Drosophila melanogaster: one gene and its partners. The protein of the gene in region 1 interacts with the protein of each later gene in a pairwise test. Each region holds a gene or a part of one and is shown in the gene's direction. Other genes may lie near its edges.

Region 1 (6,252 bases):
TCGCCAATGTAAACCCAGTGCTCGCGTGGCGTGCGCCGCATCAGTTGTGTTAGAACACCATCGACTGCTTGCATGTAGTCCAAAATAAGGCTAAAATAAAAAAGAGGTTAAATAAAGTAAATAATAAACAATTGCCACAGCACAGCTGTGATAAATCAACAAGCTGAAATTTCTACGTCTTGATCAAGAATTCTTTGTTCTTAATAGAAATTCTTAACTTCAATGTCACACTCAGATACGTACTTATCATTATCCTTGCGGCCGGTCTGAATCCACTGTTTGAGCAAGTACTCATAGTAGGAGTCCCCACGAGCACCAAGCGAGATAGTGGCGTAGTTTCGGAATGTTCCTGTGTTGGCGTTAATGAATATGGGCACCAAACCATGGTTCTTCTCCAGATCATGCACCTTCTCGTTTACTTTGTGAGCAACCTGATAAGTCATTTATTTTATAGTTCGTTATTGCCCTTATCTGATCTGTTTCGTTTACCTGTTCATAAATGGAGATGTTTGTAGAGCGACTCAAATCACGAAACTCTAGCTGAATGGTGGTGACCTCACTGGTGGAGCTATCAGGAGACCACTTCGGCGAGTGCGCCGAAAGATCTCCGAGATTCACATCAGAATAGGGGATATTTGACGGCGATTGAAAGGCGGGAAGTAAACGGTTGCCAAGTTCCGCAGCCTTGGCCAGAAACATTGTATCGCCGCTCAGGTGATATGCAGACAGCAGTCCGCCTAGGACACGTATGGTGACCTCGAATAGGTTTACATCGCGCTTGGTATCAAAGCGCAGTGATTGCTCTACCCAGTCGCGTCCTTCCTTGAATTCTGTGTAGATGTTATTGAGAAAAATAAGGAAAGTATTTCCATAAACTAATGATTTTGTGCACATTAGGATATAGGCAACTTACCATCATCCAGTCCCATTATGTACATGGTATCCAATGAGTCAACAATGGTTAGTCCCAGACCGAACCACTCGTGGGAGTACTGGGAGATGGGCTTCAGGTTGTCGTGGCCCCAGGCATACTTCTTGTAGCCAGCCCAGGAGTGCTTGAAGGCGGCTACAACAGCCGACTGTCTTTCGTTGGTGGCGCCATGGAAGTGCTGGCCCTTGGCCAGAATGGGCTTGATCTTTTTGAGATGCTCTTTGAAGCTAACGCCGCCCAGAGTGAGTGGGTTCTTGATGGCTTGCTCAAGCTGCTCGCCCTCGCTAAGCGGCTCTGCTGGATCCTGGGCGACGGGCTCCTCTACATTGTTTAGGATGTCGATTCCACCGATGTCCTGCTCCTTGTTACTATCGGGGGGAGGCAAGGCCACGGCCATGGCCGAGGCCTGGGGAAGTCCTTCAGCAGCCACCGTCTCCGGCAGACGGGCCACGTTCTCCGCTGAGTTCGCTTCTCCATAGGCAACTAGCTCATTAAACTGAAATTGATTGATATTGAGATATCATTAATAGATTTTACTGGAAGTGTGCTGCGTGGGCAATAAATCAAACACCAATAGTCAATCGTATTGATACGCATGCTATCTTAATAGGCAAACAACTCCAGCCACTTAGGCACTTATCAATTAAGTGGGGGGCCTACTTACCTTATCACTAACCGCCTCCACCCGGGGTGCTCTCTTATCGGCCGGAACAGGTACCGCAGCAGTGTCTTTGGGCACATCCTTATCCACCCCCGGATGATGGTGCGGATTGGGCAGGGGCATTTGATATGCTGCCACCTCGGCCTTGGTGTCCACATCCTTTAAGCTGGCAGCCAGCAGCTGATCGCCACTTAGGCAGAGCAACACTGTCACGCAGAATCCGGTGATGCCCAGAATAATGAGATTGCGCTGACAACGCGGTAGCTGATTCCAAGCCTGAACCGTGAGACAAAAGATCGTACTTATAAGTTCTGGGTTTCTTGAGGATGTCCCAGGACCCCAGCAACTGGACTTCTGCCAGGTTGCTACCTACCCGACGCAGGCTCTTCCTGCCCCGCTCGTCCGTCGTCGCCGCTGATCCCGGCGGGAGTGTGAGCGTTATGTGACCGCCGTCCTTCATAGTGTTTCACTAAATGCCGCCGCCGGAATTCAGAGTGTGGGAAAGTTGGATGGGAAATTCCACAGCATTCGCCTCGAATAAAAATCGATTGCTGTGCGCCGCTGGCCGCGGAGGAATCGGAGCTAACTAACCAAGGTTGGTCCAACTACTACCTCTTTTATGCCTTAATCATCTCTATACGTGCCAGTGCATTAATTTATATATGCTAGTTCTGGCCCACACTATGCAAAATTACAAATAAGAAATTCTAAAATTATTTCACGAGAGCTGCATTTTTGAGCTGCAATGCTGCCAACTTGTTCTTCAACAGTCCGGCCAAAACTAAAGATGGGGCTAGCAATCATTTACTTTTGAAATACCTCTTAAATAAAAAAAAAGCAAATTAAATTATATTTTAGATATTATCACTACTTTATAAAAGAATTTTTCTAAAGAATATATATTAATACGAAGTGGCTAATTTTTTCGAAAATCCAGCTAACACAGTATGAATTTAGCCAAATCTAGAGTGGCCAACACTAGTCCCACTTAACAGTGATTTATTTGGCAGCCCTGGTAAGCTCCAAGTGTGCCCACAATACGGCATTAAAGTGGTCACATCTGGTCACATCCCATTTTCACATCAAAATTTCGACGGAAGTCGGTGCGTAAACCCATAGCCCATTTTTAGTTAGATAATAGCACTTAAAACCCAAAAAATAACACCTACAGCCGGCAACGATAGCGATAGACCCATAGGAAAGCGAACCGCAAACCGACGATGCTCCGAACCCGACTCATCCAGGCGGCCAGCTCCGCCCAGCGAGCGTTCTCCACCAGCCAGAAGGCCCTGGCGGCCAAGCAGATGACCGTGCGAGATGCCCTCAACAGCGCATTGGACGATGAGCTGGCCCGCGACGACCGCGTCTTCATCCTGGGCGAGGAGGTGGCCCAGTACGACGGTGCTTACAAGGTGAGATCTGCGACTTTTCCTGCCCCTGCGCGATTACGTAAACAGCAAGCAGGCGGTTGCGACGACGACAGCTGATGCAGGTGGCCGGGATGGGGGAAGTTGGTGGTCAGCGGGGTGATATATGCGTGCTATATGTAACTACTGATAGTGATTCCGAACAGGTCGACGCGAATCCGAATGCGTGATCGGAGTGGGCAAGGTCACGCAGAATATGTGTGACCGACTGTCTGCTGATTATATAGATTGGCCCATAAAACAACGATTTGTTTACCCATTTGAGGTGGATTGATAACCGGCGTTAGCAATTCTATCCTATTAGATTCATTTAAACTATGATTGTGGCTACTGGTGTAACAACTAGATAGGACACGCAAAGTACAATACAATTACCTGTTAGAATAATGGTATTTCCTGAAGAAATCTTAGTTAATGAGTTATCAGCTTGGAAAGTTTTACAAACAGATAAAAGGTTCCCATCCTGAATAAGCCCTACATATTTTTCTGGTATCCTAACATTCTATTAATCATTTAATGCCCTTTTTAGGTTTCCCGTGGACTGTGGAAGAAGTACGGCGACAAGCGCGTCATCGACACGCCAATCACAGAGATGGGCTTTGCCGGCATCGCTGTTGGCGCTGCCATGGCCGGTCTGCGTCCCGTGTGCGAGTTCATGACCTGGAACTTCTCCATGCAGGCCATCGATCACGTGAGTTGCCTCATCCTTGTCCTAAGAACCACTCCCCGCACTCCAGCAGTAGGCTAACTACTCATATTATCTCATTGCCAACAAAACGTAAACCAAAAGAAAGAACACGACAATCCAATACAAATGCCTCACAACTCCAACAGCTAGCAAATAGACCAATTCAAGTGCAATATGCAGCGGCGCTTAATGGGATAATATGGGTGGATTAGCTCCTGCCCCAAGTCATAGATCGGACCTCACTAATCCCCACCCATATTATCCGATTATGTGCAGGCAAAGATACTCGATTGCGCCAAGCCGCCAGTCGGTGATCGCCCTCTGCCAATAAGCCTCATAATTGAAAGTCCACGCTCAACTTGGCTGAATGAGATCAACGACATCCTGCACAGAGATCGAGTCGGCGAGGTGATTGCGCCGCCGCTGGACAAGAGCAAGTCGGACAAGATGGAGGCGGCCCGCCTCATCGTCATTCGGCGGCGCAAGATGAAGAAGCACAAGCTAAAGAAGCTGCGTCGCAAGATGAAGTTCGAGTGGGCCAAGGTGCGCCAGCGCCGCGAGATGCGCAAAGAGAAGGCCTTCCAAGCAAAGCTGATATCCCAGATCAAGCAGGCGGAGGCATTCAGTGCGGAGCAGCACGTGGCGGAGATCCTGCGGCAGGCCAACGAGACGCCGCTGCCGCGTTTCTGGAAGGGACGCCGCCTGCCGGCATTTATCATTAAGCAGAAACTAGGCATTAAGTAAAGATCAAGACGGAACAGAAAGGAGTGCATCAAATAAAGCGTATTAACTTGAATTGGCGAATTTGCAGTTTGATGGAACAGGCATCCACACTGAGCATTATTTTCATTCATTTTTCACTTTATTATTTCTAAGTCATATTACACATTCATAATAATATGGATTGCTAAAATATATCCCTTTAAAATTTCAAATCTTAGATCATCAACTCGGCGGCCAAGACCTTCTACATGTCTGCCGGTGCCGTCAATGTGCCCATTGTGTTCCGTGGTCCCAATGGAGCCGCTTCCGGTGTTGCCGCCCAGCACTCTCAGTGCTTCGCCGCCTGGTACGCCCACTGCCCCGGCCTGAAGGTCCTTTCGCCATACGATGCCGAGGATGCCCGCGGACTGTTGAAGTCCGCAATCCGTGATCCCGATCCAGTGGTCTTCCTGGAGAATGAGCTGGTCTATGGCACGGCATTCCCTGTGGCCGATAACGTGGCCGACAAGGACTTCTTGGTGCCCATCGGCAAGGCCAAGGTAATGCGGCCGGGCAAGGACATTACCCTGGTGGCGCATTCCAAGGCGGTGGAGACATCGCTTCTGGCAGCTGCCGAGCTGGCCAAGAAGGGTACGGCACTGTTTTACTTTGAATGACGCGAAAAGTAGCTAACCTTCTCTTATATGTTTAGGTATTGAGGCTGAGGTCATTAACCTGCGCTCCATTCGTCCTCTGGACACGGCGACCATCTTCGCCTCTGTACGAAAGACCCACCATCTGGTGACCGTGGAGAACGGCTGGCCCCAACACGGTGAGTGGGAAATTCAGCTAATTGAAAGCCTAGCGATATTTATAAATTTTTACCCTCTTAGGCGTTGGAGCTGAGATCTGCGCCCGCATAATGGAGGACCAGACCTTCTTCGAGCTGGACGCCCCCGTATGGCGCTGCGCCGGCGTGGATGTGCCCATGCCCTATGCCAAGACGCTGGAGGCCCACGCCCTGCCCCGCGTTCAGGATCTCGTGGAGGCGACTCTTAAGGTCTTGGGTGGCAAAGTGGGCAAGGCCGCTGCGGCCAACAAGTAGGAACTCAGGACTAGCCAGCCTCCCGATCGGAACCCCCAGCTAACTAAATTTATAGTCCAAGTCGAAACGCTGCCTCTGGTCTAACCGAGCTGCCCCCATAATAGTGCACCGAACTGGAAATTGAATGTTCTGAAAATAAAGCACTACCGCTTTCGGGTTTTGATTAGTTTTCGGACGTTCTAGTTTAATTATTTGGTTATAGAAATCTCTTGTGAAAAATAAACGAAAACATAAATACATTTTGAGTGCTTATATTTTGGTATAGTTAATGATATAATATCAGAAGATAAAAAATATATAATTCTTATCGTTAATGATTGAAGTTTAAAAAGTGCGCGCACCGATGAAAACGTTTTCCTATTGAACGCTGTCCAACACTGACGACATCTATTTTTTCGATATCAGCCTATCGTTTAGCAATAGGTGTCCTCATATCGATAGCGATAATAGCAAAGTTAACAATAACAAAAGATATAACATAACAAATAATTGCAATGCTTTGGCTGTAATGGCAAACAGCTCCAGCTCCGACGAAAGCTGCAAGGCCCCCGACAACTTTCGCATCTCGAGCGCCTCCACAAACGGCGAGGACGAGGAATCAGATGTCGCAGGATACACAACAAAGCGCAGGCCAACGGCAGCGACGAAGGAACTGTTGAAGGATGCGAACGCCAAGGATAGGAACGCCACCACGGGAATGGGTGCCCACATGCGGTGCCCACTGTGCCACAGCTGCAG
Region 2 (5,623 bases), on another chromosome or scaffold:
ACTGCACTTTAGTTTAAGCGTTGGATACTTGTTGTTCACATGACACCGCAAATGTGTGTAGATTTTAAGGCTTTAATATGCAATAATAACTCGTAGCTTTAAAAAAGTAATGATACTATTTGATTGCCATGTTGAGAAGTTCAGACTATATCTGGGTTTTTCAGAACTTGTTTGGGCTTTAATATGCAATATATACTCTTAGCTATAACATCTTTGTAGAAAAAGCCTACAAAATCTCCTAAACTAAGCGAGGACTTATAAACTACGATAAGATACCAGATGGGTAACCCAGCCCCGGATTTATAGGGGAACATTAACCGTGGTCCAGGCCTGTTTGAAGTTCTTCTTCTGCGAGTGCTGCTTCTTTCTTAGACGCTTGGCGGTCTTCTTCTTCTTGAACCACGCAGGATAATTGCCGTACTGATCTTTGAGGGTCTTGCTGTTGAAAATGTGCTCCACGCCCGTGTTCTCGTTGGTCACCTTGACTTTCTCGCCCTTCTCCAGACTCTCCTGGTGCTCGTAGATCAATTCCTGCTCCTCCTTGGATTTGGCCTCCTGTTTTAGGAATACAATTTCTTCTTTAATAAGGATATAAAATACGTAACAAGAATGAAGGTAGTATCGCGATAAACTAAGCCGGTTTTTCGCATATTACATGCATACAATACATATAATACATTAGGTAAATTGGTATATTTGTAGGTGGGTATATCACATAACTAACCCTTTTGAGCTCCTTGGCGGTCTTAATTTCGACCACATCGCTTATATCCTTCATGATCTCATTTCCATCGGCATCTAGGAGTCCCAGAGTTTTCTTCAGTCGAATTAACTCCTTGGCTTCGTACCGCGCCTTCTTTATCTTATTCATTTCATCACGACGCTTTCTCGAGCGATTGTTTCTGCCCATTTCGGTAGTCGGATATTAAGTAATACCAGAAAAAGTCAAAGAAGTAAAGAAATTGCGTTCAATTTGCTAAAAACGTAAACACGTGTGTTTTTGCTAGAGCTGGAAAACTGCCCGATTTTTCTTCGATTTTTTTCAGCGGGCTCTTATCGATAGCGCAAATAAATTAATCGACCAGGGCTTATTTTTAGTTATTTAGCCGCCAAGATTAAAAATTGTTTTTTTTTTACTCTCGTTTTTTAAATAGTTTTATATACTTTCTATGTAAAAGACACTTATCTGTATAGAAATATGTGTCATATTATTTAATTACACCTTATGTCCTTATTTTCCCTAATATGCTGTAGCGCTGTTGTATCAATTATCAGGTACATAAATTTTTAAAAACCACAAAATATATTAAAACATATTAAATTCTAGTTTTTATGACTTTGCCTTTAATGCATATAAGTTATAACTTTTTTAAAAACCACAAATTAAGCTTTTGTGGCTTTTTTCCACTTCCATTTTCGTTTCCATTCATCTCTTTCTTCCCCTTTTCCACTCTGTATTTATTTACCTTTTGTTCTCTCTCCTTTTCAGTATATATATATTGCAATATGATTTTTGTATACAAACAAAATCAGCTGCTGAAGAGAAAATGAGAGGCTTGCCAAATACGAAAAGTAACTAAAATAGGAAATATAGTCGTTGTGAAATGCTCTACACCGACTAGATTTTTAATACACTAAATAGAATTTTATAAAAAATATATGATTGTACAAAATGCAATAGTTTTCTCTAATAGCTAAGACAATGCATATAATAGTTTGTTTAACAGTTTAAAAGAATTCGGCTTAAATGCACTTACTTTTTAAAGACCTTGATAAAAAGGTTTTCACAAAGAGATAGACTGTAAAAATGTCCTAGCTATTTAGCCAAAGTATAAGGTATTGTTAATGTACAATACAATGTGTTTACTTCAGTGACATAGCTGAGTTACTTTCGATTTGGATAGAGCATCCGAAGAGCCTCTCTTGCACATGCGCAGCAGCAGAAAGAGGCAGAAACAGGGTAAGTGTGTCGGGCTCAGCTGTAGAGCCACCAATACATGGGTAGCGCACCAACACCAGCGAACAGCAGAGGCACACAGATAGGGGGGCAACCAGCTTGGTTGGCCAGTTTGTAGACCTTCTGCCATCATTCGCTCGTCAGTCGTTGTTGCTAGCATACGTCACGGAGTTCCTGTAGCGCTGCTCTTCTCCGCACTCTCACCCCCGTCAGTTAAGCAAAAACGGAAGTAATCAGCACAAAAAACAATAAGCACGCCAATTAAAAAACATTTCGAAAACTGTGTAAAAAGCCTTGCTGGTGCAAATTATTGCAGAGAATACGGGTAGATTCCGACACCGATCGATCAATAAACTCCGCGCAGCAAGTAAGTGCAGTTTTAACCCCCCCAAAGAAAAAAAGCAGAAAAATACTGAAGCGGAAGTCCTTCTCCAAGGAAAGGACATTACACTCACACACGCACCAACACATGCTCAGATATGTTTCTCAAAAGTTCTGCTGCAAGCCGATTTACATGTACACACATCCCAAAGTGCAGCCCAGCGATACATACGAAAAAGCAGGAAAAAATTCTGATTGCACCTTCGCATCCAAAGAGTTCACACTTTTGCGGCTGTGTGAGTTTTCCTTGGCTTTCGGCCAGGCCAACAGTTTTCCATCTCCACATGCACTTACACACACACAAACACCGATTTTCCCCCAAATTGTATTTGGCTGCAAATCGGCCGAGTTTCTTGTTAAGGGGATTTCCATTCTGGGCATCTAATAGCCATAAATTTGACTTGCATCACGTTTTCAGCATTTTTAGCGATCGTTATCAGATCCGTGCCACATCTCAGATCTCTGGCATTTCCCAGCTGAGTGCACTGCTAAAAATTTGCCTAAAACCATCTAATGTAGAGCTTATTGGAATAATGAGTGTATAGAATTAAATGCTAACATAAAGCGTTCAGAATTTCTCATACTCTTTTTAGAAAAATTTCTCTCTGTGTTCAGACTTACATATTAGCTGCTGCACTTTGCCCCACGATCGAGTTATATATTTTTTTTTGTGCAATCATTGTGTGTTCATGGAGTGTCAACTGGTGATGGCAAGTGCAATGAATGTTTCGCTGATTAACATCTTAATTAGCCTTGCAATTATTTCCTCAACTATAATATTATGGCCAAAAAAAATCTCCTGGATGCCTGCCAACATTTGCTCAGATGTTGAGATCCGAGAGGCAAACGAAAATAGGGAGCATTTCGAGGAGAAACCTTGCCGCTCCACAGCCACAAAAGCAGGCCCAAAAACCCAAGTGAATCATGCGCCAAATGTGCAGAACAGGTCTTGCAGTTGCCATTGTCCATTGTCCATTTTTCGAGCTGAAGAGCTAAAAAAAAAACCTCTAAAGAACGGAAGGTGCTGGATCGAAACGGAGGGGTGGGGAGTAGGGGTCCAAAAACGAATGGGAAGAACCGTCGCGGATGATAAATCAAGTCTGGCCAGTTGTTTGTCTGTGGCAATGAAAGAAAAATTGAAAAACAAAAGCCACAGACAACAACATAAACAGCGAACAGCTGATGATGCTGCAGCAACGCGAACTCAGCCAAATGTGTATCTGGCAGATAAAGTCAGTTGGCTGCCCCGCTTCGATCGTGGCCAACAAATCTGGTCGCCTTAATTGGCCAAAAGGGTAACCGTAGTCACAGAAAGTCCAACCGATGCACAGGGAGAAAATGTGTTAGATAACAGAAGTATTTGAGTTCTATAATTCATAAGTCGATCATTTGTTTTTTTGAAAGTTATTCATTTTAAGTAAACCATACTTAGCTACTTAGCGACCCAATTCGGTGATTATTTATTTATCTGCAGCAGTGTCAATTCCTCTGAGCACTGAACTGAGTAGGGAATGAAGGCAATTAGGTTATCGTTAGACGGCATTATCTGGTTTAATTAGAGCATAGATACTGACGTGGCAATTTTGGACAGTCCCAGGGGTATCCGCAACTCAGCCCATCGGGTGCAGATCCAAAAACCAACTAACAGGTAGCAGGGGAAGGCAACTGGCTGGTGGCTAATCCCAAAATGGGATGGGACTGCCCTCCCCGCAGAGCCGATAATGCCCGACTATAATTAGAAATTTAGTCAGCCGACTTGCCGTACCTGTACTTAGGCATGTGCATCCGAAAGATATCCAAACAAAAGGCCAAATAACCAACACTTGATGTTCTTGTCTCGGTTTTGGGTTACTGTTTTTCGGGTTCCTCGCAGGTCCTGATTTATGGCCATGAAGAAAGTGAAACTGCTGTAGGTGCGGGCAAAACCAGTTTACTCAGGACACAAACAAAAAAAAACCGATGCGAAACAAAGACACAGAGTCAAGTTCAAGTTGTTTAGTATTTTCGAGTTATGTAAGTTTTTTTTCTCCCCCCTGACTCTTTTGACTGCGCATCTAAATGTCAAAAATTATGTCATAATTCTTGAAAATAAACGCAGCTGCATGTGGGTACTGTAGGGTAGAAGATTCGGGGTGGTAAACGGGGTGGTTCCAGGTGGTAGGCCCAGTAACACTGCACACTGCGCAGTTTCACCCAAATCCCTTCCCCGTTTTCCACTTTGGGGTTGCTGACGTGTTCATTTTCCACTGGCGCTGATTTGCAGCTATGGGCCTTTCATCGATTTGCAGCTAAACCGCTTCCAAAGGGAGGTAAGCATGTGGTGCGGACCCTACACCCAACAACTAGGAGGCACCCTGTGCAAGCCCAAAAATAGCAAAGGTGACCCCCAAAACGGCTGCGGAACGGGAGGCTGCAAAAAAGTTTCTCTGGGCCTACATTTTCCCAAATGCGGAAGTCGTTACTTTGTATATACATATATATTTAGGATGGTGGGTATTCCCTCTATATATATATATATACCAGAGAGAGAGAACCAAAACATTCAATGGGTCCCATCGTGAAGGTTGCTAGGTAATCGTCATCGGGGAAAATGCCCTCCGACTGCGCAGGTCAAACAAATTTGTTTGTAAACAAAATAGGACTGAGAGCAAAGAGAGAGAGAGAGAGAACTAGGGAAAAGTCCTGCAGTGAATGTAGGGGAAAAGCCAGTAACCGTACCAGTTACAGTAACAAACTGCGGTGGGAAAACTATTTCAAGCCCAGTGGGTGGTGTCTGCAAGGGGCGGGGGGCGGTCGATTTATATTTGCCCATAAATCTGCCTTTTAATTGGCGTCGTTCAAACACAACTGTGGCAATTTGAGTGCTATATTTACGCCTGACGCTATGGAAATGGCGTTAAAAATTCATTTGATTATGAAGGAAAGGAAACTGTCAAAGGGCAGGAAATAAGGTCACCAATCTGCATAAAGTTTCTTTAAAAAGAGATCGTACTTGGCAAGCGGAAAAATACTAATTAGAAAGATGTTTGAAAGTATGCTACAATATATTTTCAGCATCAAAGTAGTTCGCATTGATTTTTGCTGCAAACTTTTACGCACTCATATAAATGATTTTGTAACCACTAGAGATATTTTTCTAAACCGTTTTATAAATACAATTTGCATAACAAATTTATGCCCGTGTAGCACTTTATTTTTATAATTGCGCACGTGCTAGACTGCGACTTTAAGCCATACTATACTTACAGTAATCATATTGACTAGACTCATTTCCGAGTCACCAGT
Region 3 (5,804 bases), on another chromosome or scaffold:
CCCGGCCCCAAACTCCCCCATTGGATTCCCAGAACCAACAAGCATCATTACCCGAACAATTTTGAACCGCTGCCAAGAGAATTTCCTATGAAAGGTGGTGGCAAGCTGAATGCAAATTCATGCTTTTCTTTACTCTCACATGATCTTGGTTTCGGCCACCAGGTCAAAAGCAGTTTGCAAAATAAATAGCTACCCTAGAAAATATTATTTAAATCAAATTGAATTATTTCATGGTTTAAAAAGTTATATTTGTTTGTATATATTTATGTGGGGAATGTGAAAAAGTCTAGGGTAAGATCTCGTCGAACCACTTGGCTCTTTGCGCCCTATGGTTGTTATTCTTACGCTTTAATGAAAGCATGTTGGCAATATCTGTATGTGGGCCTGTGATTTCCCAAAACAAACATTGGCCGTCAAATCATGCGCCTGATTTTCACTCGTGTCTGCTGGGAAACCGCGTTTCTTCATATTTCCGCTGCTGACCTCGTTCTTGGTGTGTTGGTGTCGAGAACAGCGGATCCCCACAAGCTATTGGAACTCCCACTCGCTCACCTCTTCGGTGTGCCCACAGCCACCGATGACTTCCTCCGCCACGAAGTATCTATAAATACGGCGAGCGACGCAATCAAACTATATTACGTCCATATATCTGAGGAAATGCATCTCAAGTGGCGGCTGTGCAGCCTGTAAATCTCGGTATTGACACATTGAAGAGGCCTTATTGAGTGCAGTTCGGCTGAGCTAGTAGGGATAGCGATTCGGATCCGGTCCCGACCAGGCAGAACTGCATAAATTTGGTTTGTCTTTGGCTGACTTTGTTTGTCTTTGCCGCTGACTTTGCCAAGCAAAACAATCCACTCGCCTTTCTTTTACATCTCTCGTCTTTGTTGTTTACGTTCCCCAGTGTCCCACGAAAATAAACATTCGGTGATTTGATTTGGGGTGCTCCCCTCCGATGGATGCGACGTTTTACTCGCCAAATTGCGCATTTCCGGAAGCGGCAGGGATATTCATTTGAATTTCGCCTTCGGCGACGGATCGTTAATAACCGAAAGAGTTGTCTCTTATACTCAGAGAGCGTGGGCCCGGTGTATCTGTATCTGAAACTTGTATCTGTATCTGTATCTGGATATGGGGCCGCATAGCCGATCCGCGCGGCGCCATGTGCAAGTTTAATGAATTAATTAAAATTTGGTTCCGAGAGCTTCAATGGGGTATGTATGCATCTTTGTATGTGCCCACATATCTGCGTGTGTGCCGCTCGGTATCTGCATTTATGCATCTGCTCATCTGACCTCCGATGCATCGTTTGGAGCACCACCACCTACGGAAATTTGATTGTGCCCGGCCATGGACTTAAAGTGATTTCAGGGTTAAACGAAGCGAAGGAAAGTGACATACATTCGGCTTGGGTTTGGCGCTGCACTTATAAAGCATATTTTTTGCCGACATTCTGATCTCGGCAGATTTGAATACGAATATTCTGTGGAAAAAATATTTAGTTCTTGGTCACTCTAGCTCAAAAATTCTCCGTCGGTCTATAAGCTTCAACATCTTTATTCAGTAGAGTTTACAGTTCCAGCCTCCTTGTTTGTCTCAGAATGAAAGTCTTTGGGTTAAATTTGATTTATATTCTATCTTAAATTCTAAAAATATGACGAATTTAACATTTCCTGAGGCCATAATCCCATTAAAACCACAATGTGTGTCGCACGATTCTAAATTTTAGATTATACAAGTCTACACATTCCATAAACGTTTCCTATGATTCACGGGCATATATTGTATGATCAACAGGAAACTGAGCGGAACAGGTGAATTTTTCTGAAATAATTCTAAAATGCTTGAATATGAAGAAGTTTTCGATTGATGACTGAATCCACAAACATGGAAGATCTCACATCCAATAGGCAACCCACATATATTTTGGCACAAATATTTTTATGTGGTTTTTTTGAATAGACAATACAAAAGCACAGCGAGTGTCGCTTATTTCTCAATGAAATACAATTAAGATCCTCATTTTGGAAACGCAGATGAAAAGGTTGTCCCCGGATTCATATTTTTTGTCACATCTCTGTTGATTTTTCATGAAAATATGCGATGTGTCCGGTCGAAAACGCTCGCGTACATGTGAAAATATATTCGAATCTCCTGCGATCCGACGAGACTCTCAGAAAATGACTGCGAGAGTGGCACTTTCGGTTGCCGTGGAAAATTCGTCTGCCATATGTCGCCAGCTTTTCGGTATTTTCCGCTTTTCTCGGCAGTTTCGCTGAAGCAATGAACGCGTGCGGTGCATCGTCTGAGAGCAGAAAAACGGCGAAAAACGTCAAATTGTCGTACCACAATTTATTGTCGAAAAAGTATATATCACCCATCTATACAAAAGAGTAGCGGGTATATGTATTCGAGTGCCTAGATGGCGAAAAAGTGACATTTTAAGAAATTTTCATGCGTTTGTGCAACCAAAACGTGACCTTGCCTTAGGGAAATATTCTCATCAGCCTATAAATCTTGACAATCTCATGAGAGCGGTAATAATTCGTGAAAAACTACACGTTCCAGTTTGGCATATAGAACTTGCGATCCGCCAATATGTACACTTTCGTCTGTTTTTTATTTTTAGTATTCTAGAAAACTATTTGGGCAAAATAAACCAAGTTGTTCATATTTTTGCGTTTACTCATTGCGGCAATAGCAAACAAATGTGATGCATCTATTTTTAGAAAATATATCACTTTTTAACATTTTCAGTCCAGAATTGAATTTTTGCATAAACATAGGAATTCCTATATTAATAAAAGCACACGTCGCGCTGCCAATTTTAAATAGTACCAACGAATAGACTAGGCTAAAGACTTTTATAAACGACTTTAAAAATAATGACATCCACTAACTAGCCCCCTAGTGCCACTCATACAAGAGACCATTTCAATTAAGCTTTGGAATATTGGGGGTTTTTGTGAGTAACAATGTCGTAATATAATTTTCGAGGCATTCGAAAATATTGCGATTTTACTTCTTTCTATAGATATCTGATGTATAGAGTGCACTTGCCTTTAGAATCCAATGTGCCAATCCCATTTCCGTCAACGAAAGTGTTTAACGATTGAATGAAATGTTGATCTCTTAAAGAGTTGTTCGAACAAACCAAATAAAAAAGGTCGTAAATATTTTTAGACGCGACGTGGCCGTTGTTTATGATTTATATGTTGGCCTGTCCTGTCCGGCTATTCAAATTGTTTTTATGGCCCGAAAAGTTTTTCTTTCACAATACGCGCGAGTGATTTTTACCCAATTTTTTAATGGATCCTCGCAGCTTGTGTGACCTTGGCCATCGTGTAGCGCACGAGTTTTCCAGACACTTGCAGTAAACTAGGAAAGAAAAGCCGGAGGGGAGTCGCCGGAAAAGTGTCAAGAAACTTGCGCACGCGTTTCTCGACAGATGTTTTCAAAATGTTTTCTTCTTTGGGGCCATAATTATTGCTCGGCTAATTCCAAGAGGCTGAGGAATGCCGAGCGATCGACGATGATGTAGCTCATCGCTGCAATAATGCGTAGGTGCTGTATATAACGAGCGATATGCTCACATATGCTTTTTCATTGAGCAAATTGCCTGGCTGATGTTTCAAGTTCAATACCCATCGCCTCGTTTCAGTTGAATCAATCTAGTGCGCACTCGGATCAGCCCTGAACAATCCGATAATGGATCAGCCACTGGTGGTGCAGGCGGAGTACTCCTTCATGGGCAGCAATAACGACGAGCTGTGCTTCCAGAAGGGCGATGTCATCACGGTTACCCAGCGCGAGGATGGTGGCTGGTGGGAGGGAACGCTGAACGATAAGACTGGCTGGTTTCCCAGCAACTATGTGAATGAGTGCAAGGTGCAGCTGCCTCTAACGGAGACCATAAGGCCGCCGGAGGAGATCCAGGAGTATCGGTCTGTGGTGCTCAAGGATCTGCTTGACTCGGAGCGCGCCCATGTGGCCGAGCTGCAGGGTCTGCTCGAGAATTTCTTGGAGCCCATGCAACAGACGCAAATGTAAGTTCTCTATTCTCTGACATAATTTGAATATAATCTAAAAGGGCTTCTTCTACAGACTCAGTCAGGATGAGTACGCCCAGCTGATGTGTAACTTTGTAGAGATTGTGCGTACGCACGAGGATTTGCTTATCCAGATCGAGGAGTGCAACGATCGAGTGGGAAAACTATTTCTCACCAGCGCCCCCTTGATGAAGAAGGTGCACCAGGCGTACTGCGCTGCCCATCCAAAGGCCATTGTCATACTGGATAAGTACAAGTATGTGCTCCTCGCTTTATATACATATATTGTGGTGTTCAATTGTTAATAAATATAAATTTTTTTCTATTCCAAAAGGGACGAGCTGGAAAAGTATATGGAACGACAGGGCGCAGCCACTCCTGGATTACTTGTGCTCACGACGGGTCTATCAAAGCCCTTCCGGCGACTGGACAAATACTCGGCCATGCTGCAGGAGCTGGAGCGGCATATGGAGAGCAGTCATCCGGATCGCGGCGACACCCAGCGGAGTGTTGCCGTGTACAAAGACATAGCTGCCACCTGCTCGGCCACCCGTCGCCAAAAGGAGCTGGAGCTGCAAGTGCTCACGGGGCCAGTGCGTGGATGGCAGGGCCAAGAGCTGAGCACCCTCGGGGACATCATCCACATGGGCAGCGTTGCAGTTGGAGCTGATCATCGCGACCGATACTTTGTGCTCTTCCCTCAAACATTGCTATTCCTTAGCGTTAGTCAGCGGATGAGTGCATTCATCTATGAGGTGGGAAACACAAGCACAACATGGCGAATTTGTTTGTAATCTGTTTTCACACGCAGGGCAAGCTACCCTTAACTGGGATCATAGTGAATCGCCTGGAGGACACGGATGCCCTGAAGAACGCCTTTGAGATAAGCAGTCCCTTGATCGATCGCATTGTAGCAGTTTGTCAGGGTCCGAATGAGGCCAACAAGTGGGTGGAGCTGCTCAATGCCAATAATCCCAGCTTGCCGATGGGCATCAAACGGCAATTGAGTAACTTGAGCAACTCTTCGCTAGGACACCTAAATGCCGCTCATGTAAGTAGTATATTTCTCCTATATATTCACCTTTATTATCGTTTCGTTTTGGCGACACTTTAAACCGTGAGCAGCTGAGTCAACATTTGGATTCACGGGGCTACTGCACGCGATTCTCGCTGTGTGCCTATTACTCCAGCCCCCCGTGCCATGTGCGACCTCTCCGTGTGACTCTTCCCCCAAGCAATTACCCAGCAACAGCTCCGTACGCCAATCTTAGTGCTCACTTTGCCAGGCTTGTTAAAGGCGGCGGACTGAGGAGTGCTATCGTAAAGATGCTTCTGTATCCGCAGGCTCGCCAGAGCATCGATCTCAAAAGGATTGCGTTGCGCAAAAGGCGTTGTCACAAGGCATCTGCAAAGTTAAAAGATCTCAATACCAATCAGGATTCGGGGCAGTCCGAGTTGGAACGACAGGATGCAATTGAACTACCAACGGACTCGGAGAGCTATGACGATGACTTTGAAGATGATTTTTTGCATTCCTGCGACTCGGATCCGTTTGAATATGTGCAGTTTTACCAAAACAAGCGGAACGATTCCATGTGCAACTCCACAGGCACATTCGTGGACCATGGCACGGGTGCCAGGAGGCACTGTTCCTCTATCAACCTCATTAAATTGGATTCCGCGGACACGGACGAAGTTCTAGCGCTCAACGAGTTAAAAAAGGAGTCTCTTGTTATAGGATCCAGAGCACTAAGA

The links.
Region 2: the proteins of Pdhb (region 1) and TP53INP interact in a two-hybrid assay, tested with the Drosophila melanogaster proteins (one large-scale study listed by BioGRID).
Region 3: the proteins of Pdhb (region 1) and RtGEF interact in a two-hybrid assay, tested with the Drosophila melanogaster proteins (one large-scale study listed by BioGRID).

Annotation. Positions count from the first base shown.
Region 1 is NT_033777.3:29,110,446-29,116,697, forward strand, and holds Pdhb (pyruvate dehydrogenase E1 beta subunit), read left to right. Parts: upstream 1-2,625; 5' UTR 2,626-2,695; exon of another isoform or gene 2,696-2,763; 5' UTR 2,764-2,812; coding exon 2,813-3,004; intron 3,005-3,548; coding exon 3,549-3,710; intron 3,711-3,983; coding exon of another isoform or gene 3,984-4,451; exon of another isoform or gene 4,452-4,501; intron 4,502-4,648; coding exon 4,649-5,060; intron 5,061-5,121; coding exon 5,122-5,241; intron 5,242-5,302; coding exon 5,303-5,514; 3' UTR 5,515-5,752; downstream 5,753-6,252. Other genes in the region: alpha-Man-Ib (alpha-Mannosidase class I b), read right to left, coding at 1-90, 244-431, 490-830, 914-1,427, 1,596-1,868, 1,966-2,052; Atg14 (Autophagy-related 14), read left to right, coding at 6,023-6,252. UniProt on the Drosophila melanogaster protein: The pyruvate dehydrogenase complex catalyzes the overall conversion of pyruvate to acetyl-CoA and CO(2). Might play a role in regulating synapse structure formation at neuromuscular junctions. Might play a role in maintenance of mitochondrial morphology.
Region 2 is NT_037436.4:4,405,061-4,410,683, forward strand, and holds the start of TP53INP (tumor protein p53 inducible nuclear protein), read left to right. Parts: upstream 1-2,084; 5' UTR 2,085-2,324; intron 2,325-5,623. Other genes in the region: CG15019 (uncharacterized protein), read right to left, coding at 301-555, 725-910.
Region 3 is NT_033779.5:20,351,702-20,357,505, forward strand, and holds the start of RtGEF (Rho-type guanine nucleotide exchange factor), read left to right. Parts: upstream 1-2,265; 5' UTR 2,266-2,366; intron 2,367-3,661; 5' UTR 3,662-3,708; coding exon 3,709-4,046; intron 4,047-4,104; coding exon 4,105-4,305; intron 4,306-4,383; coding exon 4,384-4,804; intron 4,805-4,860; coding exon 4,861-5,100; intron 5,101-5,174; coding exon 5,175-5,804.